Drosophila melanogaster: one gene and its partners. The gene in region 3 interacts genetically with the main gene of each other region. Each region holds a gene or a part of one and is shown on either strand. Other genes may lie near its edges.

The links.
Region 1: of fng (region 3) and InR, changing one suppresses a phenotype caused by changing the other (phenotypic suppression), as found in Drosophila melanogaster (one study listed by BioGRID).
Region 2: of fng (region 3) and Nsf2, changing one enhances a phenotype caused by changing the other (phenotypic enhancement), as found in Drosophila melanogaster (one study listed by BioGRID).
Region 4: of fng (region 3) and ap, changing one suppresses a phenotype caused by changing the other (phenotypic suppression), as found in Drosophila melanogaster (6 studies listed by BioGRID).

The regions. Positions count from the first base shown.
Region 1 is NT_033777.3:21,614,357-21,622,098, forward strand, and holds the start of InR (Insulin-like receptor), read right to left. Parts: upstream 4,966-7,742; 5' UTR 4,666-4,965; exon of another isoform or gene 4,371-4,665; intron 1,385-4,370; exon of another isoform or gene 664-1,384; intron 1-663. Other genes in the region: E2f1 (E2F transcription factor 1), read right to left, coding at 7,213-7,340. UniProt on the Drosophila melanogaster protein: Has a ligand-stimulated tyrosine-protein kinase activity. Binds 3 insulin-like peptide ligands.
Region 2 is NT_033777.3:13,830,094-13,839,796, forward strand, and holds Nsf2 (N-ethylmaleimide-sensitive factor 2), read right to left. Parts: upstream 7,899-9,703; 5' UTR 7,820-7,898; coding exon 7,710-7,819; intron 7,610-7,709; coding exon 7,285-7,609; intron 6,650-7,284; coding exon 5,684-6,649; intron 5,445-5,683; coding exon 4,587-5,444; 3' UTR 3,404-4,586; downstream 1-3,403. Other genes in the region: CG31495 (uncharacterized protein), read right to left, coding at 8,681-9,703. UniProt on the Drosophila melanogaster protein: Required for vesicle-mediated transport. Catalyzes the fusion of transport vesicles within the Golgi cisternae. Is also required for transport from the endoplasmic reticulum to the Golgi stack.
Region 3 is NT_037436.4:20,945,424-20,952,958, forward strand, and holds the start of fng (fringe), read right to left. Parts: upstream 4,090-7,535; 5' UTR 3,879-4,089; coding exon 3,747-3,878; intron 1-3,746. UniProt on the Drosophila melanogaster protein: Glycosyltransferase involved in the elongation of O-linked ligands to activate Notch signaling. Possesses fucose-specific beta-1,3-N-acetylglucosaminyltransferase activity; extends the O-linked fucose on the Notch EGF repeats.
Region 4 is NT_033778.4:5,721,991-5,729,736, forward strand, and holds the start of ap (apterous), read right to left. Parts: upstream 4,843-7,746; 5' UTR 3,870-4,842; coding exon 3,831-3,869; intron 1-3,830. UniProt on the Drosophila melanogaster protein: Required for the normal development of the wing and halter imaginal disks.

The DNA of each region.
Region 1 (7,742 bases), on a different chromosome or scaffold from region 3:
AATATGTTCTTTATTAGTCATACAATGTATTCCCACATATAATTATCAGTGCCTTGTTCCATGCGAGTAACATGGCTAATCACGGACAACTAGTTTGATAAGCTCTTAATCCTTACTCACCATCCGCAGAGATTGCCCATAATCTGGAATCAAAATATCAAAACAAACAACTTGCCATTGGCCAATTGTTGATTCTTGTGGGTGTATTCTCATCGGATGTCTGTGTGTGGGAGTGTGTGTGTGTGTGTCGCCGAATGAGATACCGAATAAACACTTTCACGAGAAGACGGTCCCATACAAAATGATCACAAGATCCCGTAACCATATAAACACCACGTCATCGCCTGTCCACCGCCCGTCACTACCACACCACCACCACCACCACGACCACCACCCACCCACGTCGAACAGCTTACCCCCTAAGTTTCCTGTAGCTTTAGTTGCCATTCGCACCAGCAGTTTATTATACTTAAGTTTTCCTATAATACATTTCTTATTGCTGTTCTTTAAATCACATAGTGAAAACCATAATTGTACACACTGAGAAATAAATGGGTGTGCACAGCTGCGGAAAAAATACTAAAATTCTGCAGTGACTCATTGGCTTAAGGATCAGCGAAAGTTTTTAAAAACGAAACAAAAACAAAAAAGTCAAGTAGTAATGAAATCAAAGACAATATTTAATATTTGCACACAATTTTCCACAATTACCAAGCTGTCCGACGATTTCCTTTCCAGTTCCAACTATTAAGAACTATTTATGTGTCAGATCTCTATTATCATGGCCGCACTTGTAAGTATGTTCGAGGTTCATGCGTAGGCGACTGCAGACTTCCGAAGGGAAGGTGAAATCGGGGGAGACTCTCGTCATACGACCGGCTGACGAACGTCGACCATGTCATGTGTTGTTGGCTCCAAGTGTGCGCGTGGAGGGGCTGGCTCCATGCGTTACTTTTGTTCCCGCTGTCGCCAGCACTATTGTTATTGCCATGGCTGTTGCGGCTGGGTATTATTTGCTTGGACCTTAGACCCTCTTCCCATGATAAGATTCGGGAGCAGCTGCTTATAATGATGGGTGATGGGTGGTGGGTGGCTATGTCTGCGCCGCGGATGGATGGATGGCTAGTTGGATGGACGTATGGATGGCGGGTTGAGCGGTTAAGAGATGCGAGTCCCCATGTGAATCACTGTGGCTGCCCTCGCATCGCTTCTTGGAACAATCAATTCCGATTCATTCGATTTTCCGCGAGTTGAATGCAAATAAAAACACAATTAAGTGCGGCTGGTACAGCGAAAACAAGTTGACTCACTGCAAATACGTTGCATTTCGCAATGGCAAAACAAATGGCAGCTACACGGCTTGCGTAATTAATACCAATTTGGGCATGATCCAAAACGCACAGCTTGTTCAGTGCAATAATAACAATAAAGAAGGAGAGATCCCAATCACCTTGGTGATCGGTCATGTACATGCATACATATTTGTAACTTGTATTTGAGAACTAGTCGCTTAAATAAATTAGTAGAAAAATTTAATACTATTGCACCAGAAAACTATAATTTTGTTTTAAAACCAATTGAAAATTAATTCTATGGAAGGTATAAAACGAATGAATTGAAACACATATTTCGTTCAATTATCATACTAATTATGTCGAATCGTCTCCATTCCTGGTCCCATTAATAAATACAAAAACAACAACATCGCAGTGCGTGCATGCATGTGTGGGCGTGGCAGCGGAGGGAGTGTGGAGCGATTAGAAGACGCGCGTCTAAGTTCAAGGCCAAGCAGTTCACAGCATAAGCAGTGAAGGCAGCAGCAACAACAAAGGAGAAAAAGCAGCAGCGGCAGCAGGGCAAGAGTGCGAAAGGGGCAGAGGGTGGAGAGGGAAAAGAAGCAAACGCAGCTGAAAAAAGTGCACACAAAATTGTTTGGCTGTGTGAATGTGTGTGTGTGTGTGCTGTTTCGCAGCGAAAAAGGTCAATGACACCTGTCTGTTTGTCTCGCTCGGCTCACACACACACACATACAGGCTTATCACCGGCCACTCTCTTTCGGCAATCGTGCCCTCTCTTTCTGGCCTGCGCGCAGCTACGTTTAGACATGTGGTCAGAGCATTTTTTTTGTTTTTTCTCGCTTTAAAAGGCATTCGTGTTGGTGGCGGCATGTGTGTTTTTGTTGTTCGTTTCGGCACTGTTAATTAGTGTGGCCAAATTATGCGCCAAAGCCGCCAACAACTCGATGGTCATACGTCATCAACAATAGCCGGACAAACAATTTCCGGTTTTTAGCCACACCATTAAAAAGCCAATATCAGAAATAACATGCACAAAAATAAAATAATAAAAATACAGAGAAACAAAAGCAGGCGCAACAACAACAAACTTGGCCCGGGTTCCGTCATTGCCTCATCCTCTATAGATCTCTTCTGTTCTTCTGCTTTATTTTGGTTCTATTTCAGCAATTTGTTATTGCGGCGACTTATTTTTGTCGCAGCACGCACACACACTCGCACTTATGCTCGCACACACACACACACACACACAAATGCACAGAGAGCAGGCAGGCAAACTCGATTTAAAAATAAATAAATTACGCACAAATACAAATACATTGGCCAACATTCTTCGGGCCTCGTCAAAAATATAGCATGATTAATACAAAAATGCGCAATTCTCTGGTGTTTTTTTTTTCTACTTCGGTTTTGCCTGTTGTTTTAACCCAACCTCCCAATTTTTTATGGCATTTCTCTCTTATTATACAATAATAACGCGAATATAATAAGAGCACAGCAAGTGGGCAGTTCAACGGCAACGCAAATAGCAACAACAAGCGCAGCGGCACGCCAATTAGTGCTTATGCTTTTTAATTAGCAAGCGGACCCATCCCCACATTTCCCCATTTTCCACCTTCCCGCCCACAAAACCACTTACCCGTAATATCTCCACGCCAGTTATTTGGGAAATATCTTCCCATTTATCACTATTTCAGTACACCCACAGACCCCCGATCTATTGATCTGCTTCCGTTGCGGATACAACACAAAATCAAAAGCCCGTAAATCGTGGGTGTATCTTTATCTCGTTCTTTTAAAGGGATATCCCACTTTTAATGTCAACTTAAGTCATTAAAGTCTCAACCTGCTTAAGTTGGCATTAAATAATTAATGTTTATAAAATGAAAACATTGTAGAAGCTCCAAACGTTTTTACAAAGTCTCCATTAAACTAAATTTAATGGATATCTTATACATATACCTTAAAGATAAAAAGAAACCCGATTTATAAGGTCACAGTTTGAGCAAATAGTTTGATCAACTTTTTGGGATTTGTTTTAGCAAGTGAGAGCTTTAAAATTGTACTGGATATATTTGGCTGGTTTACTCAGCATTTTGGTCACTCTAATTACGAGCTCCAAAATAAAATAAAAAACAGCACTGTCATGACTTTTTGACAACCGCTGAAAGTGTGGTGTCCACCATACATTAAAAAACAACACATTTTCCAAAGTATAACTTTAGAATTATAAAGGTTTGAAAATCATGACAAGTCAACAGGTGAGTTCAATTTTATTTTTGAAATATTAAATAAAAAATTGAGTTTTGCAGGTGGTCCTGAAGAGGGGGTGAGAGCAACATACATATTAAAGCGCCTTTTAAGGAAAAATGTATGGGTGTTTAATGGAAGTCGACTAAGACACTTCTTTGAAGTTTATTGTTTTGTTTTTTTTAATAATTTATACTAATTCTATAAATATTTAATAAAATTCTATTGAATAGCTCTTATTGACGCTTGTATGATTAATTTTAAAACTTACCAAGGACAATAAGGAGACAGTCTTTAGCAATAGTACTAAGTAATTTCATGAAATACTATTTTTAATAATAATGTTAGTTACTCTTTTAGTGCTGGCTTAATTTAATGCAATGGAAAACTTATCTGTACCACTTTTCAAAATGCGTGCAACAATAAAAAATAAACCAGCACAACAACAACAACAATAATAAAACAAAAACCGGCAGCAATCGAAATTCTTTCATTTCTTTTCCGCCTCTCTTCGCGCAGCCGCTCTCCGCACGACAGAGAGACAGAGAGAGAGAGAAAAAGAGAACAATGTTGGCTGCGCCGCTCATTCACAAAACGGAGACGTAAAGCGGTGTGCGAAGAAGAAGAACAACAACAGCCCAAGATATGATAGATATGGAACAACAACAAAAGGAACAAGAGGAACCGGGCGGAGAGAGGAGGAGGAGGAGAGCAAAAACAACTTGGCATAAATTGCTGCTGCGTAGTAATTTCACGAGTATTTTCCTAGTTACGTTCTCACTACTATTATTCATTTTATTATTATTTGTTGTTTTTGTTACATACCCCTTTGCAACGGTTTTGTTGTCGTGCATTGTTGATCTAGTTGTTGTTGTGTCACCTAATTTTTGATTTTTATTTCTATTTGTATTTTATTTTGGTATCGATTTCAAAATAGAACGACGCACTTTCCCAGACGCAGGCGTAATTAAATTTTCTTATGTTTTATTCGCGTGCTTTCTTTTTGCGCCGCAACTTCACAACATGCTGTGTATATATAAATAATAGGAGAGCGCGCGTGTGTGTGTGTATGTGTGTGTACACAAATTTTATTTATTTATTTACCGTGAATTTTACTCACACACCCGGACAAGCCGCACTCTCGCCAGCACACGAGAATCGCCCGCACTTGTATTTCGTGGAATTTCTTTAATTCGAACTCCACCGACCTCGCACTATTGCTCTGTATTTTGTATTTTCGCACTTTTCATTCACGAAATGCTGGGGCACATAATTTCGCCTTGCACAGTATTAGGTATCGGCAATTCACTGTGGCCTCTATTTGACAGCGATGATTTTCCGCACGACGAACACACTCACAATTCCAATTCACGGCGACCGCGGCAACGATCTCAACGTTTCGAAATCGCGTGAAACACTGCCAGCCGTTACCCTTGTTGTATACGCGATTTTCGGTTTAGCGCGTTTTCCAACTCTGTTCGGTCGTTTTCGAACTCTGTCTTTTGACCGCTTACAGAACTCTGTTAGTGCCGGCTGTTACACTAGCGCGCCACCTATAGCAGAGCTCTTCGTTTACCAACACGCCATGAAGCCCAATACTGAATCCTCGCGCACTAAAAACGGATATTCCATTTGTAAAAACTTTTATATGAGCATAATGTCATTAGCAAATATTACATTCTGGATCACTTTTTTTTCGAAAAATTTAGAAAATATAATAAAATAATGGCGCTATTATTGTGTCGATTTCTTAATGACATAGGAAATATTTTTATGTAATCATTGTCCAAGAGCATCTACTTTCCATGCAATCAAGCATAATCATTTCCTTGAACTCCCCGCCTAGGTGATAAATACTAACTAACTACAAATACTAGGAGCTGCTGTAAAACCAATTTAAACCAATTTTAAATATTTCGCTAGGATCTGCTTTTTGGGGTTTGGCTTTTAGAAACGCAAGTTTCAAGTTTAAAGATAGTGCGCCATACTTGAATATCGTAAATTGCAAGCAGTGCTACGTTTTACTGCTTTCCGAGTTGGCGGGCGCATTAAAATGCACTGCTTTCCCAGTTGGCGGGCGTTTTAAAACATGCAGACAAGTCTGCTAACTACTCATGGGTAAAATGATCAAAATCCAAGGAATGGATCACATATTTAAAATTCAACTTGGTGTTTAAAAAAATCTTTGAAAAGATGCATAAAACAGTACAGTCTTTATACTTTATTAAAAATAATTAATATAAAAAATAATATTTACCAAAAACATTCAAATGATGATTCAAAATTGCTTAGTTAAAAAAGAAGTTAGCAAAAAACACTTCTTGTGACCATGGCAAACTTCACCTTATTTAAATTCGGCTTGAAAAACTTAAATATTCAGTTTAATTGAAACAGTAGACATTCGGTTTTAAAAATTTATTTTGTTTATTTTAAAGTTTCCTTCGTTTTTGTAATATTTATTTTCTCTTTTTTTCATGTGTTTGTTTTTGGAAAGAAAGAAAAGTACCTAACAAGTGTGTTTTCTCTTATAAAAATTAAACGTACAATTATACAGTGGTTTCGGCTTGTTGCGGTTCTCCTTCGTTTATTTATTGATTTTTTTTTACAATTGTATGATTTGCATTTGTTTGTTGCTTTTATCTATCGTTTAGTTAAATATATAACTACTAGGAGAGAGTTTAAATAATTATTTATGTACTTGTAGTTGACTCTGTTAAGTGGTTGGTTGTTTGTTTTGTGGGATGATTTGGCTTCTATGAATAAACTGCTATTGGGCCCATGTGTGTGTTTACAGTTTAAATTTTATAACAATAACAAATTATGATACATAGTTATAGCTTTAATAATATTATAATTAAAAATCAATCGATAAATCCAAGCAAATGAAGAGAAGAGGATTCTGTTGCATGCGTCACTAAAACAGGAACCAAAGCCATCTTGTTGGGGGCCCAGGAGTGTTCTCTTCCTCTTCTACTACTGCTCCATATTAATTTGAAATGTCTTCGATATATTTTACAATTTGAAATTGATTTTCTTTTTATTGTTTAATGTTGATTGGCTTTACAACTATTTTGTTTTATAATTTAAAATTATATAAGTGTGTGTGTGTGTGTGTGTGTTGGTATTATTTTTACTAATTTACAGACAGTTCTAGCCCAAAAAGTTGTTTGATAAGAGGGAAGTATTCGCATTTTTTGTGTGTTATCCAATCGTTTAAATAGTATTCCTGATTCTTTTTGCTTTCTTTTAAAGGCTAAAATTAAAATTTGCTTATAAAATGTGGCTCTTCTTGCTACGACTTCTCCCTATTTCTCTCGTGAGGCTGAGTTTTTGTAAAGTAGATTTTGTGTTTTCGTTTTGTTTCGCTTAAATTAGTTTGGGTTATAAATTTAAATGTATATATTTTTACGCTTAAAATTGTACACACAACTTAGTTTCATTAAGTTTTGCTGATTCGCTTTTTTTTGTGTTTTGTTTTTGGATTTTTTGTGGCTTCTAGTATTTGCAATCAAATAATTTAATAATTTGCTGGCTGGCTTTGTATCTTTTTTTTTCTTTTGCCATTTGTATATAATTTAAAATTATAAACACCCCCAGAATCCCAATTTTGTAGACATGTGTGTGTGTGTGTGTGTGTGGTTGTGATTGTGTTCGTGGACGTCTCCTCTTAGGGTCCATAGGCATCCGAACCGAAGTCAAACAGCCGATCGATGCCCTCGTTCGCGTTCAGCGCATACGGATAGTCATTGTCGTCCGGCGGATTGATGGACACAAAGGCGATATCGTTGCTGAAGTCTGTAAATAAGAATGCAACACATTACTGAATATTCCGGCATTACTAAATGTTCTGCAGTTCGGGGCTGGGCTGGCTGCATATGATTTTACATTGGGTTATTTGACGATTTCATCTGGACAACCATAAAATAGGAGAGAGAGAGAGAGAGAGCTGAGAGCTGATAGAGCGAGAGATGTTGTGGATGCATGTTTGAAATTCACGCCAGAGCTGAATCTCATGGTGCTACAGAATTTCAATTTCAAAATGAACAATTTGCCCTGGAGCGGTCAGTGTTGTCAGTGCAGACCCACGAGAATTCAGTTCCAAAATGAATTTGACACGAGGACGATTGCTGACGAGGCGGCGGGTTTTATGTCGATATATATACATATATACATTTATGCACAATTATTTAATATTAT
Region 2 (9,703 bases), on a different chromosome or scaffold from region 3:
TTTGGAACTGGGCCGCTCTTTTCGCCCATGTTTTTCTGCACCGGTATCAATGAATCGAAATGAATTGAAATAAAATGAAATGAAATGAAATGCGAATGTCTCGATCGCGTGCGGCAACATTTTCACAGATTTCAGATTTCGAGTTTCGAGCTTTTTGCCCCGGATTCTGATTCTGCGTTTTGATTTGTACCTCCTTTTGATCGTGCCTCGTTTTTTCTTCTCCTTTACGAAGTTTGTGTGTAATATCGGGGGTTGTGTCTTGTGTTTAGGCTATAAATGGCATATTAATACATACTTGTGTTTAACCCTCGAGTGCCTAGGCGGTATTTCTGTGCATCATATCATTTTCTCTAGTGATATCTGCCACAGCTCATCCTTAGACGAATACATTTAATCCTTTAAATAGTTGTGTACATACTCAGATAAAATCGCCATCAAAATATTGAAAAAATGATAGCTACAAAAGTAAATTCTGACAAATTGGTAATGAAATATTCAACTCATTCTTAAGAGCAGCTTGCTAGGTGGGTTAATTCCCCATTTTCTTGCCAAATTTTTCGACCAATGCGTTTTTTATTCCCCACTCAGTTGATGACTAATACGCATGCAAGTTCCGCGAAAAGTCCGCCCCCGCGCCCCTCTGCATTCCACAGATAGTTGCCAGCCAAATTGCAACTCAATTATAAATTGCAAAGGGGAAAATGAAATGAATGAAAAAAAAACCAGGCGAAGAGCGAAACCGAAACCAAAGCCAAGAAAAAACCCAAAACAGTCGCAGTGTAAAATTGTAGCTTAGGCAGCGCCAAAAAATACTAATTTATCTGCGAGTTTCGCATGCTAACTACCACACACACAAGCGCAGAAGGAAAAAGAGCTCGAAAACATCAATGGAAATGCCACGAAAATGCTAGTTGAGCTTTGGAAAAACCATGAAATGTGCGAGTACGAGGAAAATCTTCCGCGTTTGTGTAATGCAGGAAGATTTTCCATGATGTTTGTTTTGTATTCGCTTTACATTTTCCCCGAGCTGCTGAAAGTACATATGTATATGCACGCTTGTAAGTTTTGCAATCACTGGAAAAAAAATAGGGCATATAATTAAGGCAATTCCAGGTATCCATAGGTATTATATTTCTTTAAAAAGTACAAATACAAAAGTTGACATTGTGGAAACTCAAACAATCAAGCGTGTTATTGAAAATTATTCAGCATACCTGTTTTTTTCAGTGCTTTGACAATTTTCCGTGGGATTTGCATGTGGCGCCAAAATATCTGTAGATCACCATGTCGATTCAAACGAATCGATGGTACGAATCTGCTGGAAAAGCGCATCATCTTCTCTGGATAGCTTGAGATATCGCAGATGCGAGATGGAAGATCGCAGTTCGCAGATCGGAGATCGCGCATATTGATGATCGAAGATCGAAGATCCGAGAGCGAAAGCACAAGCTCTGTGCGAAAGAAAGCAGGTGAGAGCGTCGTCCGCTCGTAAAGAGCTCAAAACATGACACCCCAGATGGGCCGCCAGCTCGTGGGGCGAAGGGTGAGGTGGGGGGGGGGAGCTGTAGCCGGTCAGGGGGTGGTCCGCTGGTGCGAGAGGGAGAAAGAAGCGAGGGGTAGGGGACACCGTGCGAAAGTGAAATCGAACCTTCGCTGCCGGCGTTTGCGCTTTTAAGCAGCAACAAAAACAACTAAGCCGGGCCGGTTTCAAAGTTTACGAGAGGCGCGACTGCGCACAGTGATTTAGAATAAAAAAAGAAATAATAAAAATGGTGTTAAAGGCGTACGTACACGTATTTTTTAATAATATTTACTTAATATTTAGTGTATTTCTAGGAATTTTTATAGATACTTTAAGTTTCATTATTCATTTAAAACAAAAACACTAAAGAAGATTTAATAATAAAGACTTATGTAGCAAAATAATACACTATGATACACTGTGCGCCGGAGAATTGACTTTTCACAAGTGCAGAGAGTGCGCCGCTGCTGGCTTTAATAATTAATAACAAAAAAAAAAAACGAATTTGTAAGAGTTTCGTTATTTTTACAGGCGGTGAATGAAAATCCGTTTCGGTTTTAATTTTGGCTCCTGCTGCCGGCAGCGCAGCTTTGCTTTTTGGCCCGGTCGTTGATCTTTGTCCGACTGGACTTTCGTCACCAAGCGTTTTGCATACGTGAGCGACCGCTCACTGACGCGCTGGCCGGGCCCCAAATCCGCGAATTATAATTACCCATCGATTGCCGGGTGGGTGGGTGACTTTTCCTGCGATTCGGACGCACTTGCCAAGTGCTAATTACGGACAGGATCCTTACTCGGTCACAGTCCGCAGAAATAAAGATGCAAAGCTCGTCTTTAATATTTGTTGGTATAAATCGTATGTCTTAAATAAAAAAATCAAATCAAATGCACCTTTTGGAACATTTATAAACTATAAAAGCTTAAAAACCTTGTGGGCATGCCAATTTAACCCATCTAAGGGTTATAAAATCACAAGTATTGCACATGACCAATAAGGCATTAGACTAAAATGTAAGTCTTATGCAGGGGCATACCCTAGTAATCATGTTGCTTTTCATATAGTTTCAATTATACGTAGACTTACTAATAGTCCTTACATTTACAATGTATATTTGGAGTGTGAAAATCTTTACGATCACGATGTCCAGAATTTCCCCTACCCTTTGGGCAAAATCATGATTGTGTCGAGCAGTTCCAGGGGCAATTGGCAATGCAAATCAATTTTCAGATCTTTGCAAATATGCAGCTTTAATTAGTTAATAAGTGGCGCTGACTAGCAGCTGACACCGTCGCGACATGGCCATGGCTTTGGGTGCTACCATGACTGTTGGCTATGGCTATGGCTACCCAGGATTCCTCAGACGACTGCCGCTGATAAAGCTGGACTGGACCACAAATGGGCGTCGAGCGCAATTAGCGCCATATATCAATTACCGAGCAGTGTGGCACTCCACTCCGCTCCACATTACGTATACGCAGACGACGCGCCGCTAAGGTGTTTTCATTATAAATCATTTATTCAAATTGCATATTACGCCGACCGACTGGCTGTGGTCAGCACCTCGGCCAAGCTGACCACTGCTCTGATTGGGTTCCGGCGTCGGATCTTGTCGCGAACAGCTGATCGATGGATCGGACTGATCGGATCGGATCGGGTGAGTACATGGTATGATAACCACTTGACGCCTTCCAAGCGGACAGCTGTCGGGCGGCGATCGCCGAGAAAAAACAATATTTAAATAAATAGGAGTTTTCAAAGAATTCAAGCTGCTACACTCCGAAACTACCAAGGGAACTAATGTGTCCTGGAACGAAAAGAAAAGGCAATCAATCAATTTGCATTATATATATTTTTGACTAAAGATCGTTTCAGCCGTTCTTATTAAAAAGACCATAGTCTTTGGGAAAACTCCATTTATTTTTAGCTATTGGGTAAATTACATAAATTAGTTTGTTATCCCGTTGGTACACATCAAGTTTATCCATAAAAGACATATCCATTTACAAATGATTCACATATATTTCGTGTTTTTCGAAAAGCTTCGATCGAAATTCAGAAATTGTAGCTAAGACATGCACCTTCTTTAGCTAGTTTTCAAACCCAAAGTGATCTCACTTATGGATGTAAAGAAAAATATAACAAAAATGATTTGTTTTCGTTTTTGGTAAAAAGTCATGTAAATAAAAATCACACGTATTCAAAACTGTGCGCTCTGTAAAATAACTTTCAGAATTATAGTTCTTAAGTATCGGTATAACGCTTAAGCATCTTAATTCAATTTTGATTTAAAAGATCAATCTATTAGGGCTGCATCATCGGATTTTTGTCTTTTTTATTTATCATGGTAAATGCAATATCCGTAAAATCCTTATAAAATACATCATGTTGGTATCAAATTCTCTATGTAAGTCTGTGCACTCAAACTGAGATTTTCATGGTGGACACCGACGGATTATCCTTAGTCGCTAATGCGAGTACTTTAAGTTCGTTGGTATCATCAAATTCAAAACTTACAAATTACTTGACTTTATCTCACAAGTTGGTCTTCAGTTACGCTTTATTATATTTTTTTTTTTTTAGTGGAACTTAAGCGAAGTATAGCGTTAGAATATTATATTGCAGCTGAAACCTATCATTGTGATTCCCTTTTGATAGCGGGAAAAAAAACACAATCATAAAATTGCACTAGGGTGGGTCGATTTCTTCGATTTGCAGAATATGAGTTTATAAAATTATACACTTCCTAATAAACAATAAAAGTGGTCACCGGTTCTGTGTATTAGGCTTGAAGGCAACTAATTTCAAAGTTTCACGAAAGTATAGAATTTTATAGAAACCCACTCTGCAAGTAAGATATTTTGAAATATGGGAATATATTATTATATTATATTACGTTGTACTTTTTTCCCAAAAGGTTATAAGTATTTTTGTAACGGTTTTTTGTTTTAATACATATATATATATTTTTAATTGTAAACACATAACCGTTTTTCCAGTTTGAATCAATCAAATCGAACCACTCTGCTGTTTGATAATGGAATGTAAATTAATTTAAAGGCGTAGCTAGTGCCCTTGCACCCTATCCATTTCCAGACCGCCCTCCTCCTCCATTTTGCTGAGGAACTTGATAACCCGCTGGTGAGGCTCCGATTGCCGGATCATATCGATGAGAGCCAGCAGCTTCTTGATGCCGATACACAATCGCTTACCCGCCATTTTCCTGGCAATGCTCTGCAGCTCCTCGGGACTAAACAAATCAGAATCATCCAGCACGGCAAGCACGTTCTCGGGAGTTGAGAGATTGGACACATGCAGGACGGACGTGAAAGCCGAGAGCATTTCCATCTCCTCGAGAACGTCCCGCCGGCTGGAAGTGCACAGGATCAGCAGTTTTCTACCCTTTGGCGGTTGCTTTTTCAGTAGAACCAATAGCGCCTGCAGCGTGAGATTAGAGTACCTGGGTCCAATTGGACCGTAGTCTAGCAATCGCTCCACATTGTCCACCACAATGCAGCTCAATGTGGAGCGATAGGCGTCGTCGAAGATCTTGCGGATGTGCAGGCACTTGGCTGACTCCGTAAATCCTACCATATCTTCCGGGGAGCAGACCTTAACGAATGGGAAATCACTCAACTGGGCCAGATTAGCGGCCAGCGCTGATTTGCCGGAGTTGGGAGCTCCTTCGATGAGAACAGACACCAGGCCAGAGCTCTCAGTGGCCTTCGCCTGCTGTACGGAGAGCATTCCGTCCTCCAGGAGTTCGGTGACCGGTGGGCCCCAGTTTATAATTCCGCGTGCCAGCAGATTTTCCAGCATCTCCTGGGCTGCTCCAAAGGCGGGCTTGATGTCGTTGTCCAATGCGTGCAGAAAGTCGGCTCGCGTAACACGCAGTTTTTCCATAGCCTCCGGGTCCACGTGAACCTTGGATCGTAGAAAAGCAAATGATGATGGTAATTTTAGAATAGTGGAACAGTCGAACGTTAATCGCTTTCTTGGTTTATCGAAACCAAATTACTCGAAATTAAACGAAACCCGAAACGCAAACCGAGAGATAAATGAAATAAGCGAATACGCCAAATAAATAAAATAACATTTCGATCCGAATGTGAATTAAGAGAACCCCCTTTCTTTGCTTTCACGCCATGCTGTGCATCATATACCTTGGAGTCCGCCTTTATTAACCGATTCATGGCCGTGGATTGGGCCGCTCTAACCAGACCCTCCAACTCTGCGCCACTGAAGTTCTTTGTCTTGGCCGCGATCTCATTGTTGTCCACATCGCTAGCTATCTTGTTAAAGTCACGCATCCGCTTGGTGTGGATATTCAGGATCTGGACGCGACCCTGCTCGTTGGGCAAGCTGATCTCCATTTGCACTTCCAAGCGTCCAGGTCGCAGCAGGGCCTCATCGATCATGTCCCGCCGGTTGGTCATTCCTATTACCAGGATGTTGTTCAACTGCTCCACGCCGTCGATCTTGGCTAGCAGTTGATTGACGACCGTGTCGTGGACACCACTATTACCGGCCACGGATCCGCGAGCCTTGCAAATGGCGTCGATCTCGTCGAAGATGATGATGTGCAGTCCACTGTTCGGTCCCAAGCGCTTTTCCTCCTCCTCGGCCTCGGCAAACAGTCGCCGGATATTGGCTTCTGATTCACCCACGTACTTGTCCAGGATCTGCGGTCCATTCACGATCTTGGGTTCGCGGGCATTCAGCATGGTACCTATTTGCCGGGCCATCAGGGTTTTTCCCGTGCCTGGTGGTCCGTACAACAGAATACCCTTAACGTGCTTGATGCCCAGTTGTTCGACAAGTTCCGGCGGAAAAACACGAGAGGCGAAGGCGCGTCGGAAAATCGCATTGAACTCTTTGTCTAGGCCACCAATGCCCATCTTGCCAAAGTCCCAGTCCGGATTTATGATGGACTGCCGCACGATCTTACCCTTGGAGCGACCCTGCAGATTTAGCACAGAGTTTTCGGCCTTCTCGAACTGCACCACCGTGTTACCGAGGATGCGGCCGAATCGTACGTTCCGAGTCTTCGGTAGGGAATCGCCCACTGTTCGGGGATCCACTGCCTCCAGCGTTTTTACAGCGAGGCCCAGGAATTTCTTGTCTTTGAACTGAAAGGCGGTAAACATCCTTATTAGCAAACGAACGATATATGTACATTAAGGAGCATGTTAGAAGAATTACTATGTTAAGATAGTTGCATTTCCTATGAGGGCAGCCTAACACACTATTTTTAGTTCATAAAAAAGGGGGACATTGTATGCTGAATTATTAAAAAAGATTTGGCAGAGAGCCAAAAAGATGATCTAAGGGAGAGTTACGTGTCTTTGGGTTTCTAATTGTTGGAGGTAAGCTACCTTGTTAATATTTGCATTAGGTCACCGTCTAAATGTGGAATATGAGATTCAGCATCTCATGACAATCAAGACACGTCAGTAAATATAAAATAACGAATATCGAATAACACAAATAACGAATATTCTCACTACCGCTATGCTATGAACGTATAAATCTTTTTGTAAAGTTATACAAAACCAAAATTATTATAAGTGCACACAATAAATGGTGAAATAATGAATAGGTGCGTCCGAGATAAACCGAGAACCCTCATTGAATTGGGTAGTATTTTAACTGGCTCTGGCATATATCACTAATCCTCTCCAGATTACTACCTTAGTTTCAGTCCTTTGCTATCTATTTTTCTATACTGCATACATTTATGGGGGAGCCACATCCACACCATTACCTGAAAGACGAGCGTTTGGCCGACGGTCAGCGGCATTCCGGCGAACTGCATGAGGAACTCCTTGGCCATCTCGTCGGAGTCGTAGGGCTCCTGCGTGGTGGTCTTCTTCTGCAGGAAGTCCGTCTCGAAGGAGACCAGTGTGATGATATCGGCGCTGGCATCGAATCGGTACGGCCGCACGTCTATTTCCTGGTTGATGGAGAGCGTGGCCCACTTGCGCTGGACCAGCGAGAATCCGACGTGGCCGAGCGGCAGCTCCGGCCCGCTGATCTTCTCCAGCGCGAAGATGTAGTGCAGCCCCGGGCCCGGCGAGATGTCCACATATCTGCAGGGTATCAAGCGGTGCGTCATTAGCATAAGCGAAAGTTTCCATAGGCTCGTACGCCCACGTAGGAAGTGGAAAAACAACAAAAACCAACACTCACTTGACCTCCTCCGTGAAATCGGACACATTCACAATCGCCTTGTTCGTCAGGGACAGCTCATCCGTTGGGCATTTGATCGCTCTCATCCGGTGGGCTTTTTCAATTGACATTTTCGTAGCAATTTTATAATATAATCCCGAAATTGTCTCAAACAGCTGATAGCCCGTTGAGGGAGTGCAACCCTGTTCGGCATTGCGTGTGTGTATGCACTGTGATTGCGAGCAAAAGATGCCTGCTACGGCACCTGCAGTGCAAATTTGAATTCATTGGCGCGCATTTGCATTTTCTAATAATACATATATCCCCCGCATTCAAGACTTCTTCGCTGTTGCTAAGCAGCTCTGCAGCACCAGGATTGGTGAAGAAAACAATCCAAAAAATGTGTTGTATCAAAAGCCAAATCCTCTAAGTAAATAACGATAAAATGGGTGGCATTTGCAATTCAAATATCTTTATTTTTACTTATATATATATAATATGGTAATAAAACTTGTTATGCCAATCACCAAAGACACTAGAACAATATAATATATATATATAATATATAATATATATTATATATATAATTATGTATATATATATATATTGGACAACGACATCAAGCCCGCCTTTGGAGCAGCCCAGGAGATGTTGGGCCCACCGGTCACCGAACTCCTGGAGGACGGAATGCTCTCCGTACAGCAGGCGAAGGCCACTGAGAGGTCTGGCCTGGTGTATATATAATATATATATAATATAATAATCTAGTATCTTTGCAATCACATTATCGGGCTGTTCATTTTAGTCTTAAGAACATTGCAATGCAATGGAAGCAAGTTCATCCAAAAAATAATGCAATATTATTTTTTTAGATGGTTTTTTTATGCTTACGTGGTTCTTTTAAATATAAAGCATTACTGAATTATTTGGAATCACTTGGAATTATTTTCCTGGAATTGTAGATACAATATTGCATTTCCTAACCTAACGTCTTAAATGTATTGAGGTACAAGTGGACTAGAATGGTTCCCTACCCATCCCATTGCTTCGCCCAATTTCTTCAGCAATTTGGCAGCTCGACGGTCGGGATTTAGGGAATTCACCCACGCAATCAAGTCAAGCAACCGTTTGATGCCAATGGAGACGTTGCGGCCATCCATGGCGATCTCGATTTGGCGTAGCTCCTCGGGCTCGAATCGTTTTGAAGCTTCCACTATGACCATAAGTTCTTTAGGCGTGGAAACATTTGGCACATTGTGAACTGAAGTGAAAACGGATAGCAAGCCCAGTTCCTCCAGGACATCGAGACGATTGCTTGTGCAAATGATGATGAGCTCGTGGCTGTTGGGCGGTTGTTTCTTCAGAAGAACCGTCAGCTTCTGCAGGAACTCCTTGGAGTACCGCTTACCCAGGGCGCCGTAACCAATGACACGCTCAAAGTCGTCAATGATGACGCAGCTGCGCCTGGAAACATAGGCGTCCTCCAAGACTTCCCGTATTCTCTGGCATTTTTCGGAATCGCTAAGTCCCAGCAATTCGGCCGACGAGATGTATTTTATAAAAGGGCAGTCTGTTTTCAAAGCCATTTGAGCGGCCACCGTAGTTAGGCCTGACTTGGGCTTACCTTCGACCAGATGGCAAGACCATCTTGGGCGTCCGGTGGACAGGAGATCATTCGGATCGAAAGCGGTACGATCTAGATATTCATATGGCATGAGCAGCTGGAGAGTCTCCTCCTGCCGGCCAAATCGTGGCTGAATGATCTTTACCGCGGCCAGGAGATCGACCTGAGTGACTTGAAGGCCCTTCGGGCATCTGGTGACGTGAGTGCGGACAATGGCTTCATGGAGGGCTTCTCGGACCAGTTGGCACAGCTCGTCCTCCGTGAAATTTTTGGTTTTCATTGCAATTTCGCGTGCGCAAACATCGCCGGCCACCGTAATGTCACCCAGCCTGTTGATGCGCGATTTTAAGAGGTTCACACGCTCCTCAGTGTTGGGTAAAGTGATGTTGAC
Region 3 (7,535 bases):
GAAAACAGCAATGCCTTGTGACACTTTTGTGGGATTTGCGAATTACTCGAACGTGATGAAACTGAACAAGCACCGATACAGATACATATTCACAGTTGCGGATTCTGATTCAGATTCAGCTGGAGATACATAAACACGTGTGCCCATATATGCAGGCCGCCTGCGGATTTTGACAACTACAATAAGCCAAATTGAAGTAAAAACTTTTAGAAAAGAATACACTTTAACCACACACATCAAAAAAGCTAATTGGCTAATATGTAAGCAAGCACTTTATATGGAATACATTTTTGGTAAACTACCCTTGCACCATTATTCTTATTTCGTATTTTCTAATAGAACTCAAATTTTTTCTTCAAATGTACAGCCTACAACATACAAGTGCCGGGTGAAAGGTGATTCAATAGATATAAAATCCCAAAACAAATTTAACACGGTCCGCACAATAGCAACAGCTGCCCCCCACTACGCCCACTCGAATGACTAATGCTTCATTAGCCGCGTGATTAATATGTTTATAAACATTTCCATGTCAATTAATAACGAGCAAACCATAAGAATCGAGCGAAGAGGTGCGAGTGAATAATATGAAAGGGCGCCAAATGGAATCTACCCCTCTCAGGCGACCTTTGGGAAGATTAATTGAGTTAAACTCTGGTCGCCATAACGGAAAGCATAAATCAGCGAAATCGAACAAATCAAAGGCATTCCCGAAAAAATGCAATCAGAACCGTTCGTTCGCCTCCAGCTGGGCGAGCGGGAAAATCTTCATTAAATGCTGTTTAACAATATTATCCGTAAGATACGAATCTAAGATAAGATACACACAACAACAACAACAACAACAACAGCAGCAGCTCAGCAGCCAGGCATCCGAGCATCCAGGCTCAATTAAGCGACCACCAAAAGATACCCAGATACCCAGATATGGGTATCTTTTACTCGGTTGCCCAGCTGCAGATACTACTCCTTTTATCAGGCGCCTTCCGCGGCTTAATGTCGTCAACTTTTTCGGGCTGATTACGTGAGCGGCGGGCAGAAGGAGGGCTTTGTGGATCGAGGGGCCACGGAAAGGTAGCTGCAACCAGCTGCATTAAGTTGGCCATGGGAAGTGAAGAGCAAGCACCTGCTTTTGGCCTGGCCAAAAACAGGAATCACATCATCATCATCATCATCATCGTGGTCTTTGTCTCTCGGGCTGCCTCGAAGGCTTCTTGTGGCTGTTGCTTTCCTCAAGCTGATTTGCATGCTCCTCAGCTTAGGAGTTTGTTAATGTTATTATGTATTTACCATGCACTCGTCAAAAATATTTGAAAGTCCATACTGGAAAATAAATTCGGATATCTTAGAAGAAGAATTAGATGTCATTACAGAAAAAATCTATATTGTGCACGTTCATAAATGCACGTAAGTAATCTACTATCCATATCGATGTGTCATCGGTAAGCTGATCACAGTGTAGCCACAACAAACTACTCAAATCAATCAGCGACTGGTGGCCATTTGGCGCGCCACTTTAAAGAAATTCATAAACAAGCAAATCGTTTGACGATTATTATTCATTTCGTTTCATTTATGATTTATGCGTCAGCAACACGCGACATGCCAACCTGGCGACCTGGCGACGTGAGCTGCAACTGGACATGAGACATCAGATACTGGGAATCTTGGATAGGCAGGGTTGTGGGGCTGATGGAGACCCCCATGACAATACCCCCGCCCCGCCCCCGCCCGATTTCGAAATTATTGCTTTATCAGGCGAATGCCAAGCCCAGTTTAGCGCGAGTATGTGTCCAGTCGACTGTTTAGCTGTTCAACAGTTCGAAGAATCGAGCCAAGCCAAGTCATGTCAAGTCAACAAGCAGCACTTTTTGCGCAACATTTAGGAACAAAAAGAGAACACTCATATACGAAGTACGAAAAGAATTAAGCAAATTGTACGCGGCATGCAGTTTTTAAACTGGGACAAGTCACAGACCTCCGATGGAACAGAACTTCAATTGAAAAGACAAACAACAGTACAGCAGTTGTCGACAGTTTTTTATCCGGCTCAGTATTTAGTAGTGCGATGTGTGTGTAGCACTAATTCCTGCCAAGTTTCCGGTTAGCCCCAGAACACAAAAATAAAAAAAAGAGTAGAGCAACTGGAAGAGCCACAACGTCAACAGCATTGTCCGAATTAAAACAACATAAAGTTTTTAATTACACTAGCAGCAGCATGCGAAAACATTACAGGGGAGCCTCCACAAACTCGCCTCGAAGCCTCGAAGTTGGGCAATTGAGTTGCAAATTGAGAAGCCGGAAGGTGGTGAAGGGCAAGGGGATTACATGGATATTTTTGAGGATGCTGCAGCTGATTCAATTATGAGCTCTTAACTCTATTGCCAGCGGCTCGAATCACTAATATTATGAAATTTGTAAGCCTTAGTTAGGGAGCTGTAACAGTTGAAGGTATAACTACAGCAGTAGGGTTCATTTAACAAAAATCGAACTATATAAAGAAATGTTGGAAGAAAACTTTGAGGAATCTGTATATGCAACTGATTAAAAATATGTGCACTATTTTCTTATGGCGTCGTTTCATTTAAAGTTTTTAAAATATGATAATCCTAGAAGGTGGACACATAGTTCGAATTTCAAGGGTTCTAAAAATAGCCTGTTCGCATAAAACCCTGCCAAAAAGTGTTTGCAATGCAATAGGAGGCTAACTAAGGCCATTCCCACGGACCTCAACTATTTGTTATCTGTGATGCAACTGACAAGGTTTTCCACTGGACGAGTCCATTGAGATTCACCTCCATGAGATCCCCCCTCGCAGCGCACACCTTGGTAATATTAGCACACAATATTTTATTACACAAAAATTTATGCAAAAATCAAGAGTAAGAAGAGAACAATAATAAATGGGCAGAGCAGACAGGGCTCAGAACCCTGACAGGCCCTGGAATCAGGCAACTGAAAGCTTTGGCGACGCTCTGCCGACGGCAAACCAAGAAATTCAGGAACGGTTGACTGGATCTTCGGTAATCGAAACTGGGAATACTCTTGTGGGAATTGGAAAGTATTGGTGATTTTCAAAAATATATTCCAAGTGCCTAATGGTATGATTTTAGGATTTTAATAATGTCTCGATAATGCGAGCCGATCTTTGAACATCAACTTTAACAGAATTACATTCTCTTGTCCTTAAATCAATCAAATATAAGCTTAATTGTAAAAAAAAAAAACAAATAAATTCAGGATCATATTTCCATTTTTGAAACAAACCACTAAGCTAGGCACTACCTCTACATAAACTTCTGCACAATTTCTAAAGCAATCAAGTCCTTAGTTCCAAATGAATTCCCCGTGATACCGATCCCCATCCAATCACCAATCGTAGGGTATATCCTTTTAAAACGCTTCCTCGCCGAAATTTGTGTTCAATTATGATACCCCCTATTAGGGTATAAAAGCGCAAAAAGCCAAGCACCGAAACTGTTTTATATGCAAGGCAAGGGCGTAAAAGGTTTTTTTAACGGCCAAAGCCGCAGCTGCAAAACTCAAGTCGCCGGCGTTGATTTATGAAAGTGCACGAGTCGACGTCGATCGGGATCGGAATCAAAGGGGGATAATGCAAATTGCCTGGCCTTTGCAGCTTTGCAACTTATGCAGATCAGTGCGGAGCACACACGTTTGACAGTTTCGCAGCGCTAACAACACCCACGCAAGCTGGATTATGTCGCCCACTCGAACTCGCAACTCACTTGGATGCCCGGATATCCGTAGGCGCTCTGGTAGAGCAGTAGGGTCATATAGACGACGGCGACGGCTAACATCATGGCTTGCAGGATTCGCTTAAAACGTTGCGGTGGCGAGAGCACAGTCAGGCTCATCATACGGTTACGGACCACTACGCGCACATTGAAGCACCGCCGATTTGATCACTGGGTAGGTTTTATATTCCAATATTAGCTGGTTCTTTTCCTGGATCGTATGAATTCTGCTCGATTTCTGAAATTACGATATCTTTTAAGTTTATTTCGATTTCGATATCGCAGCACGCGCGCACTGACGTCTTGCTTGTGGCAAGCTTGAAAAGCAACTGATTGTGGTAGCGCGATCTACTCTTCTCTTCTTCCAGCGAAAATCGTAAACAAAACAAAAACCAGAAAGACCAGTAAGCGGTGAGAGTAGCGAGAGAGAAAGAGAGAGAGAGAATTCCCTTTGAGCTGGTCCAATTGGAAACGTTAGCTGCTCCAATGGGAGCAGCTGGCGCTCTCTCTTCGATCGCGCTCGCTCTCATCCTCTCTCTTTAGCTTGTGCCACAGTAGCTGCCGAAGGCAATTTTCATGTGCTCGTGTGTCGACCCCCACTCAGCCCACTTCTGATCGGAATCGGGGATTCGGAATCGTGTAAGGCAGCCTTTGAAGGTCCCTTTTCCAGGTGGCGGCCGTATCCTTAAAGTAAACATAGTTCAACTGACTTGGCAGCGCTCCAAATGCGGTGACTTCTTGGCTATGTCATATATACCCCCACTCCCCTCCTGACTACCCTGCCACGCCCCACCGCCCACCGTCGGCGACGACAATTCCATTAAAAGTTGTACGTTGTCACTTTGCGTTAACTTATCTGTGGAGCATGTTGTGCGATCGCATTTTTATTGTCGCCATTGTCTCTCGCTCTCTCCATCGCTCTTTCGCCTGGCTTCCCTACCCTGCCCACACAGGGAAGCCTACACACTCTTAAATCATGCACTTGGAACAAAAAGTGCAAGCATTAAACTTTATTTAAACATTCAAGAGCCGCTCCTCTATTTACCATTGAAATTTTATTTCAAATAGAGAGGTCTTTTCAGATTATATTATACCTTTAAGTGGCTTAGAAATAGTTAGACAGTGTATTTATGGATAAGTAATTAATTTAACTAAAAAATACAAACAGAAGAATTCTTTTACAATAATTTCAAACTACTAATTTCTACATCCCTTTCTCGCTCCGTGCATCAAATGCATCCACATCTCACGTGCGTCGGCAGCGTTCTGCGACGTTTCTTTGTCGCTCGGTTTTTGTGTAGCACTTGGCCTGCTCCCCACTTGACAATGCTTTGCATGCCAGGCACCATCCAGCAGTATCTTCCCGTTCCTCCTCCTCTTGCTGCTCTCAGCCCATTCAGCTCGATCCCATTCCATCCCAATCCGAATCCCATCCTACTCCTCACCAGCTTGTCATATTCCATGTTTGTGGCGGCGACAAAAGCTTTTGCGGACACCTCTGCCCGCGTCGACTGCGCTGCCCGCACAATCAGCAACTCGGCATCTTGTTCGCTGTCCCTTTGTGCGCCTTTCGCCTGAATTGCATTAAGCAGAGTCGGCGGAGCACTGCAAGAAAATAGTGAATTCGTATTTAATTCGGTAAGAGAACAGCATAAAAATGTAAACTTTTATCGCCTTGTGTCAGCTGAAAAATCTATCCAACCCTTAATAGTTTAATGTTTTAGATTATTTAAGACTGAGCCCTTTAAATACAAAAGCTTAGCATAAATTTAGAACCATCGACAATTACCCAGGGGCTTTAAAACTGTTTAACTTAAGTGGCCATTGTGTGTACCCAAATGAGCAAGCAAAATCAATTGGCCTTCACAGTGTTTTAATTATTTTTATTAGTTTATTATTATGTCAGTATGATTTTTCTACCGGTGCAGAGACGGTGGTAGCGGCGACGCAGGCCATTCCAACCTTGTTCTGCCACAGAAAAAGACATCGCTCGGCTGGAATCAGCCGCCCGCTTGCCACGAAACCCTCGGAACCCACTTCCCATTCCTCCGTATTCCGCCCACTCCCATTGCTCATTTTTAATGTGCAATTCCGTATGTACAGTTCGTAGCCATGGCCACCATTCCGCTCCGTATAAGTGTGTGTGTGTGTGTGTGTTTGCATAGCAGCTTGGTTGCCGGTTAGGCATGTGCCACCTCCAGCTGCAAGCTGCCTGTTCCAAGTTCCGATCCCCAGCCTCCAACTTCGGCTGCAACTTCAACTGCATCTTCAACTGCAACTTCAGCTGAAAAGCCCAGATCACAACCTAGCCTTATAACCAAACGAGTGCAGCTCCGTTTATCGGGCGGCCTAACCTTGTTAGGATTGTAAAATGTAAACCGAAGGCGTTGCCACGGACTCAGTGCTCAACTCGGACTTACACATCCCAAACCATTTTAAGATCTCCATAAAAATTAAAAAATAATTGTTCAATAACACTTTTGAAAATACCATACAACTTCGCATGCAGCTTGCAGCACAACAAAAATGTTTTCTGAAATGGTTTCACCTTTAAAAATAATTTGAAATCACTTTTTTTCAGTGTAGCCTAGCTCTAGCTTCTCAACTGATCGGCTGGGCATCCAGATAAAATTTCGCTCGGCTGGCACACGCTCAAGTTGCCTCCATCCGCGTCCTCGTCTTGGTCCTCAACCACGGTCATCGTTAATCGAAAACGGGCTGCGCCGTCGCCCTGCGGTTACGAGTGTCGCCAGGCCAAAGCGAGCCGCAGATGGAGCGGAGGATGCGAATGGTGATGGGGATGGAGCAGGGTAGGAACGAGAGTGCTTTCAGGGCATCAACGAAGGGGCCTTTAAGCCTGGCCAACAACTGTGCGCGTGCGCAGAACCGCCAACCTGGCAATGTGTTCATTTCGGTACCATATTTCGTTCGGTGGTGCAGGAATTATGCCCGGTAGTCATGCAGCTCCAGCAACTCATGCAGCAATACACCGCGAAATAAACCTGAATATTTTATTAGCTCAGCATTTAAATAACTTTTTTGTTTTAAAAGCAATTATTTCCCTTTCAACGGAAATCTGCACTTAGATTGAATAGATGAATGAGGATAAAAGTCATGTCGTAAAAATTGTGCCAAATAAAAATTGTTAATAAAAAATGATAACTATAAATATTAGTTACTTGGAACATACGTTTTAATCGCCAAACATATTTCTCCTGGTGCTTTCGCTAATCGCGAGGAGGTCGAAATTAAAGCGAGTATTTGACTGACGGACCGACGCAGTCTCTGTGGCCGAAGTGAGTGACTAGTTGACTGCCAGACACGCGGCTTGATTGGACGCCTTGTCCACGTCGGCATCCAGATTCAAATCCACGTCCAAGTCCACGACCGCACTCGGCTCAATGTCCGCGGAAATGGGGAACGGGAATGGGTGGGCTCTATGAAAATCGGAATGGGCTCTTAGTACTGCACACTGGGCTTAGAAATGGAGGCAAAGTAGGAACACCAAACGACCGACACCCAAGCGAGACGCAGCGGTCACACATTCGTCATGGAGACTGTTGGGCCACAATTGCGGTCAAAATAATAGCACTTATCTGCTGGTAGTATTTTAAGAATATGTGCATGAATAACAGTAACAAAAATAATAGTTATATTTAAAATATATACCTATACGTGCTGACCTAGAAGTGTGTCTCCTGTTGTGTTGCACATCCATCCATGTAAACATGCACTATTCGCATTCGATTTTGATGCGTATTGATGGCTGCCCGACCAGCG
Region 4 (7,746 bases), on a different chromosome or scaffold from region 3:
AGAAAAATTAAAATTTTAGCTAATGTCTTTACCTCTGCATCTTAAGCAATACAATTTTGTGCGGTAATTTAAAATATTTACATGTTATGCATTTTTGATTTCGTTAAAGTGTATTAACGTATTGTATGAGAGTTTAACGATTTATAATATGGATGGCAAAAGAAAGACCACAAACAAATATCAACATATTTAAATAATTTTAGAATATTTCCTTTCGACTTTGAAAAAAAGAATTCCGTAAGGAAAATTATTAAATAAAAAAAAGAGAGAATGATATAGTTAAGTTTTCCGACTATCAGATGCTCGTTACTCAAAATTTCTAAAAATGGTTCAAAAGTGTGGGCGTTCTAGCTTTTATAGTTCCTGAGATCTCGACGTTCATACGCACTGACGGACTTGGCTAGATCGACTCGGCTATTGATCCTGATCAAGAATATATATACTTTAAAACGCTTACTTGCACCTTTTACATAATTTTCAACGAATATAGTATGCCCTTTTACTCTACGATCAACGGGTATAAAAAATAACAAAATAAAATAAATAATAAAAAAGTACAACTTATTGCTTTTGATCACACTTGTTCTATTTTTGGCGTACTTATATATACTTAGATATCAATGATGACTCGTAAATCCTGGAGGGTATTTTTTTAAAGGCTATTATTATTATTATTGTTGCTATTCGTTTAAAGCTGAGTCATGCAAGCTGATGTTGTTAGGGAAATTAAAATCAGTAGAAAACCTTATATCGGTAGGTATACCTACCGATATAAGCTTGTCTACTGATTTTAATTAATATATATATATATATATATATATATAGTGACGTCCCATACTCAACAAGAAGGGGTACATAAAATGTTTTGATCATATCTCAAATCTATTCAATTAAAGTTTGACTTTAAATATAATTAATCACTGTTTTAGTTAATGTATTTACATTGTTTTAATAGGGATTATATCAAAGTTGAGAATAGTGAAAGTAATAAAATGTAAGGTAACGAAAGTAATTTTTACGACTAACACTTGTTTCATGTTTTATTCGTAGTATTCGTAATAATCGCAAGTAATTGTCAAAAGGACAGAAATAATGGCATTTCCGGAAAGCTATGTGCCCTGCACAACTTGACGATCTGAACAAAGAATTGAGGCTTTTAGGAACACGTTATGGCTGTTTTTATTGTTAGTTATTTTAAAACGGTTCCATCGAAACCAAAACATACAATAGATGTATGTTTTCTGTGCCAATCTATTATAAAACGTTTAGACAATGAGTTGTAACATATTATTCACCTGATGAAGGTTGCTCTGCATAGTGAACCAAATTGCAGATAAGTGGCAAAAAGTACAATATTACAGATACCGAGCTAAACAACTAATATACCACTACAAATATTCAAACAACTTTTAAGCTTATTTGGCCACTCTGTAGACAGAAAGCACTTACTTCAAAAAAATGTCTGTGTTTTTCTAGCTATATCAAATGATACATTTGTAAGTTCCTAATTTGAAGTTCCTAACATTGTCGATCCACAGTCATCAAACAGAGTATATCGGATGTGTACGTATAATAATAATAATACGTTATAATAACGTATAATAATATAATAAGCACCGTTAATGCCTAACATTATTGTAAAATACATTAAAGATCGAAAAAGTTTCTACTATTTTAAAGAATATAAGAATCGCAAACATATGTATGTATATGATACTTAGTGCACTAAAAATATTTTTATTGTGTTAATTTGCCAAGCGCACAATATCAAGCAAATTTCCCCTTGTATTTATTCACATTAAAATTGAGTTTTTGTAGAAAAAATTGAATTGAATTAAAATTGAGTTTTGTAACAAACTTAACAATAGGACTTATTGATGTTTCCGATATTTTGATTACGGGCAAATGACAGCTACAAAAAAATGTATTTGAATTCGTTGTCTATTTCTCGCTATTGGATATCGGTTACTCAGCTAGGCAGACTGCGAAAAATAAATTTCAATTTTTTTGCATATCGAAAGAAATTGGAAAAAAAATTAAGACGAATGATAAGTTAGAAAGGGTGTGTTAAAAATTTTCTTGGTATTACAATACATACATAAAACGGAAATATACCAAAACATTTTCATCAAGATGGGCGTGGCCGCTTTGGGCTGTTTGTGCATGTCAAAGAGTTTTTTGGCAAATCGGTAAAAATTTAAAGACTTATAAAACATGAAAAATATCAAAACATATTTCAAAAGCGTATTTCTTGGCGGTTTAAATTTAAATTTTTGTTCATTTTATTCACCGATATCTAACGATATTCCAGCAAAATGATGAAATGTTGCGTTTTCATTCCCACTAGCTGAGTAACGGGTATCTGATAGTTGGGGAACTCGACTTTTATATATAAAAAGAAATGTACAAAAATAAAAATTTGAAAAAAAAAACTCTAAAATTACTTTTATAAAATTTTTAATAGTCCGAATTTAATCAATTTCGTAACTTGATCGATGTGCCGAATTTATCAGGTAAACACATCATCAACACATTTTCGAATACTTTAGGAAGAAAGAATTTTGAGATATGGGAGTTTGTTTTAGTGGACTTGGAAATACTTTAAAACGGCAGTACAATATGAATGTTCAAGACTAGGTTTCAGCTTTTACAATTCCTAAAACGTTTAAAAGGACGGACGGTTGGACGAATAAAAGAACGGACAGGCGGACATGGCCAGATCAACTCGGCTATTGACCTTAATCAAGGATATCCCTTATAAGGGTCGGTAACCCTTCCATCTGTCTGTTACATACTTTTCAACGAATGTTTCATACCATTTTACTCTTCCAATTTATTTACGATTTTCCTATTCTTATACAATACAATCTTATACAATTCTTGTACAATATATAGATGTGGTATATATAGACTAGAATTCGAATACTCGTACATCTCGATTTACAGTAATCGATGACATTTGGAAAACATACAAAAGATGGGAATTAAAACAAACACACAGATTTCAAACACCAAAGTTGTAAAGTAACAAAAAATTGTTTGCATAAAGTATAAGGAATGCGTTATGTTTCAAAATAGGAATAGCAATTAAAAATGACAAAATCAAAAATAGGTAAAAGATGTTCATGTAACTCATCAAGGCAATTCGTTCTTTTCAAAAAAATGGTACAAGAATATCTCTGTGTGGTAGAAAATGCCTTATTCGCGTTAAAAATTAGTATTTGAAGGTCAATTGACTACTATTAAAATATATCAAATTGGTATATATTGGCACACGGTGATTATTCTCTAAAACTGAATACGTTCGCGTCGAATATCAGATATATACAAAAATTTCGTAAAAACGTACATATTTGTTTTACCTGTATTTTGATTTCTACATATCTATTAATTTTTTTGCACGACTATGCCGCCCAATTTGATTGTATATTGATTAGTACGACTATCATCAAAAATCTGCCTTCTTAAACATTAAATGATTCTAACCTAAGTTAGATGAATAAAAATTAAGGCAGGGAATCACATTGAAATTTTGTAACCGCGTTCTACAGCAATGTTTCAACGAGCGAACTAGCCACTGATTGAACACTTCTGGGAACTGTTTTTAATCTGAAATGCCCAAGCGGCTTTCTTATCGATATTGAGTGGGGCTGTCTGTTGATAGGCAAGCTTTCAGTCTGGTATTGATAACTCCGAGTAACCCAGGCTCGGATCAATATTAATCACAAAGGGCAGAGTTTGGGTGAGCTGGGACGGACTGGTGGATGACTTATTTTTTAGTCTTATCGCTGGTAACTTTGGATTTTATGTGCTACGGCGGCAGAACTTACCCAATGCATCACAGGGCGCTCCTCGGTGCAGACGCCCATGTGCGTCTTTTGGAATGACACGAGGTCTATTTCCAAGGATGATGTCCGTCGGTCGTGTTATGTTTGTCGTTGTGTAGGCTGTGCGTTGTGTCTTGCGAGCCTTATGCCTCCTTAAAAGGGCTGCGGTGCTACGTTGGTCTTGGGTAATCCTCTACACCCCGGCTAGATGTGCTATTGGACACTTGACACTGGCCACGATTAGATGCCCGGCTAGGCTCGCCGGTAATAAGTGTGCGCACAACTTGATCTATTACTTTGCGGACATGCATCACTTCGGCGTTGTCTTAGAGATTGACACCATTGGCTTGCCTTTTCTTATTGCACAAACTACGATTTGAATGCCGCTTTTTTTAAACTTTCTCCTTAGCACCAAGGTAATATAAGGAACATAGGGTCACACACTCACTAAAACACTTGACTCGGCGGCAGGTAGGATATTTGTATTGATTAGAAACCGCCCCTGTATCTCGAGCGCAAAGGCGTTTTCGGACCGCTGACGACCACCGGTTAGCGTAAGAAATCTAAAGTTAATTTATGACATTAATTTACGAGACAGCGCGAGAATGGCACATCAGATCCAAATTGAGTGGTAAAGGTCGGCCTTTGTCGGGCTCTTCCTACGACACTCGACGATGCCTGTTACTGATAAGGCATTAGAGACAGAGGCGCGTATGCGTATGCGGCTGTGCTCCCTTGTGTTGTTGTTTATGACCGGGCAGGCGATTACCGATCCAACTTCAGTTTTGTATCCGTTTCGCCAACTCCCTGTTTCTGTGTCGATTCTCCTTCGATCCAGTTCTGGCAAACCGAAACTACAGCCGAGCTCAAGTCAAAACAAAAATCGAATACGCGCACCGCTTCCAAAAACAAAAACCGACTCAAATTCGAAACTCGACTACCGACTTTGGTCTGCAGCTGATCTACTCAAAATCGTGAGGACAACCAGCCGTCGCAGCTGAAAAACTGGGAATGTTTGGACGCTGTGCGAGCGCAGCGCCAGAAGCCAAAAAACTCCACCGCCCCGTTCGCCGTGTGTTTGCGTGCGTGATGTGCGCGCGCCAGTGTGAGTGAGTGCGATGTCGCGCATGAGCTGCCATCCTGCTTGCACACACGCTCATTCCGCAGCTCTCACGTAGTGGCAAATGGCGGCGCTCTCAGCTGATAGCGTCAGTAGCTCGTTCCCGCTCTAGAGCACAGCCAGTAGACGAAGAGGGCGTGGTGTTCTATCCGCGCTCTCGCACCAGCCGAAATCGCCTCCCCACGCACCGCCCACCGGACAGTTGGCCGGCTGCAAAACGTGAATAAGGCAGCGGTAGCAGCAGTCAGGAGGAGTATAAGCTGTGCGCCAGACGCCACATGAATGAGGATGGACTCCAGACTCGAACTGGAAGCTGCGAGCGGAGTCCGTGACAGGAATTCCAACTCGCAGAGGACGAACAGTGGTCTGAGGACGCACAGGGGAACGAACTCTCACACCAGCGGGTCTTCGGTTGACTCTGCTGATTCTTTAGTTGTGTAATGAAAAGATGCATGGTGTCTATATATGCCGTCTTCATGCTGAAAACATCATGCAGAAAAGTTGTAACTAACTTACTGAGAGCTATTTATTGTGTTTTCGTATGCTGACGCTATAAATGTTGAAAGAATATAGGTTCGTTTGACAGGTGTATTTATAATTCTCAACCAGTTCAAACGCTACCAGCACTACGCCCAAGTTGTCGCCTGCTTCCAATAAGAACTGTCATCATAGAACCTTGCTGTCACTTCTCCTTTAATTCCGCACAAGCTTGAAACAAAGTGCACACAAATCTCCAAATGGCTTAGGGAGCAGATTTAACGTTAAATACTTTTATTGCAGTTACAGCTATAAATATTCAGCTTTTGTGGTATGCATTCACTATGATTCCACAAATGTTTGACATTTTGAGTGTTTTGCCGGTTGTAACTTACATATATTTGGCAAGTTTTGGTTGAGGTTACGGTTACATTTTAATAATGTAAAATATTTGCCATTAACTGCAATGCATTTTCAGAATTTCAACCAGCTTACGTTGATTCAATCGTTGAAAAAGAAATTTTTTTAAGTGTAATTGTTAATATACTTCTGCTGTTACATACATAAGTTCGCCGCTGCTTTTTGAACTCTTCGCAGAAAGTTTTAAAACATGTATTACGTATTTGAAATGTTTGTGCGACTTAGCCTTCGCATTTAACTTTATTTTTGGGCAAAATGTTTCACCTCGTTGTTGCTATTGTTGCTTGTTGACTTAAGAGGGCTTTCAAAGAACCCCGGTTAAGTCGGAACTGATTGGGTGGATTGGTTGTGGACGTCGGCACAGATTTTGGGTCCTTATTCCTTACGAATATACACAGCTGAATTCTCATGATTTTAATATTGACAAGAGTAAATGCGAATACATGCAGTATTTTCAGACCATTATAATTGGTACAGTGCCTCATAATAATTTGTTTATAGATTCTTTTAAATTTTACATCTTTTTTTATTGTAAACAGGCCCATCTTACAAAAGTGCGTAAAATATACTAATACATTATAAGAGATGGGCACATAAGGACAAAATAACGGTAACAGTAATCATTGGTAAAACATTGGTGTATAAACCGATTTGATCTTTAATAATTGTAGATTTATGTATAATAAACGTTAATCATGTTATGTGATTATTAGAAAATATAACCATCTCATCCCTCTGTTAGAATTCTACTCTACAATACGTAATAAGGGTATACTGAATTCGTGGCAGTTAAGTTTTCTTTAGTCAACATCTAACGAAATACTAAAAATATGTAGTTCGAGTCACTCCGATACTTTTGAAGTTTTTAGATACCATAAATATAATAAGTGGTAAGTGTAAAAGAAGGGGGCAGGAACCTGTCTCCCTCGAAGTTAATTTGGCTAAGTAAGGGATATCTAATAGACGACGAACTCGACTATAAAAAAAAATTATAATACTTACTTGAATAAAAATAATATTATAAATTATCCTTTCGAAAGAGTCAAGAATGGCACTCCAAAATACAGCTTAGTAATAAAAAAAAAAAAACACCATGACGGATAGCTACCAGAGGCAACCTAGCCAATTAAGAATTTTTTTTTTTGTCAAAAATTGTCAATCCGTACTTCACAGATGTTTTAAAACTGAATATTCCCTTAATAACTCATATTTAAAATTTCAAAATTGGGTATCCTACGACGTCATGGGCGATATTTCAATTTTCTCAAACACAGTAAAATAATAGAATATTTTACAAATAAAATGTATGTACCTACAAATATAATCCTCATTTCTTGGGTATATTGTTTTTTCTGACTAATGACAGAGCGCATTGACCCAAGCTGACAAATATTTTAGCTTACAAATTAAAAAAATTTTTAATTGTTGCATCGCTGGGGTTTTGCTAATAGAATTTTCGAGGCCGCAGAGAAACTAAGCTCTCTGCCTCCATATGGGGCAGACAGAAAGAAGTAGGGACAGATGGACGTGTTAAATGATCTCGGATTTTGAAAGTGATCATGATATATAAACTTGCTAAGTTGCTAAGTATCATTCTACCCGTTATATGCTTTACAAATACCTTTTCTTCTAAGCCAATTCTTAGTTTCAAGGATAAACAAGAGAGAATGCTCTAGTCGGCTAGTGAGAATGCGAACGGGGAATTTCATAATTTAGCTGGGATACCGACAGATATTTGTGAATTAAAGCTCCCTTCTACCTGTTACATACTTTTCAATAAACACAATATACCCCTTTCCTGTAAAATAACGGGCATAACTAGAGTCAAGACATGTATATGATACAACTTACAGATAATGATATTTCAAGTGCCTCGACTATTGGATAATAAAACAGATAAAA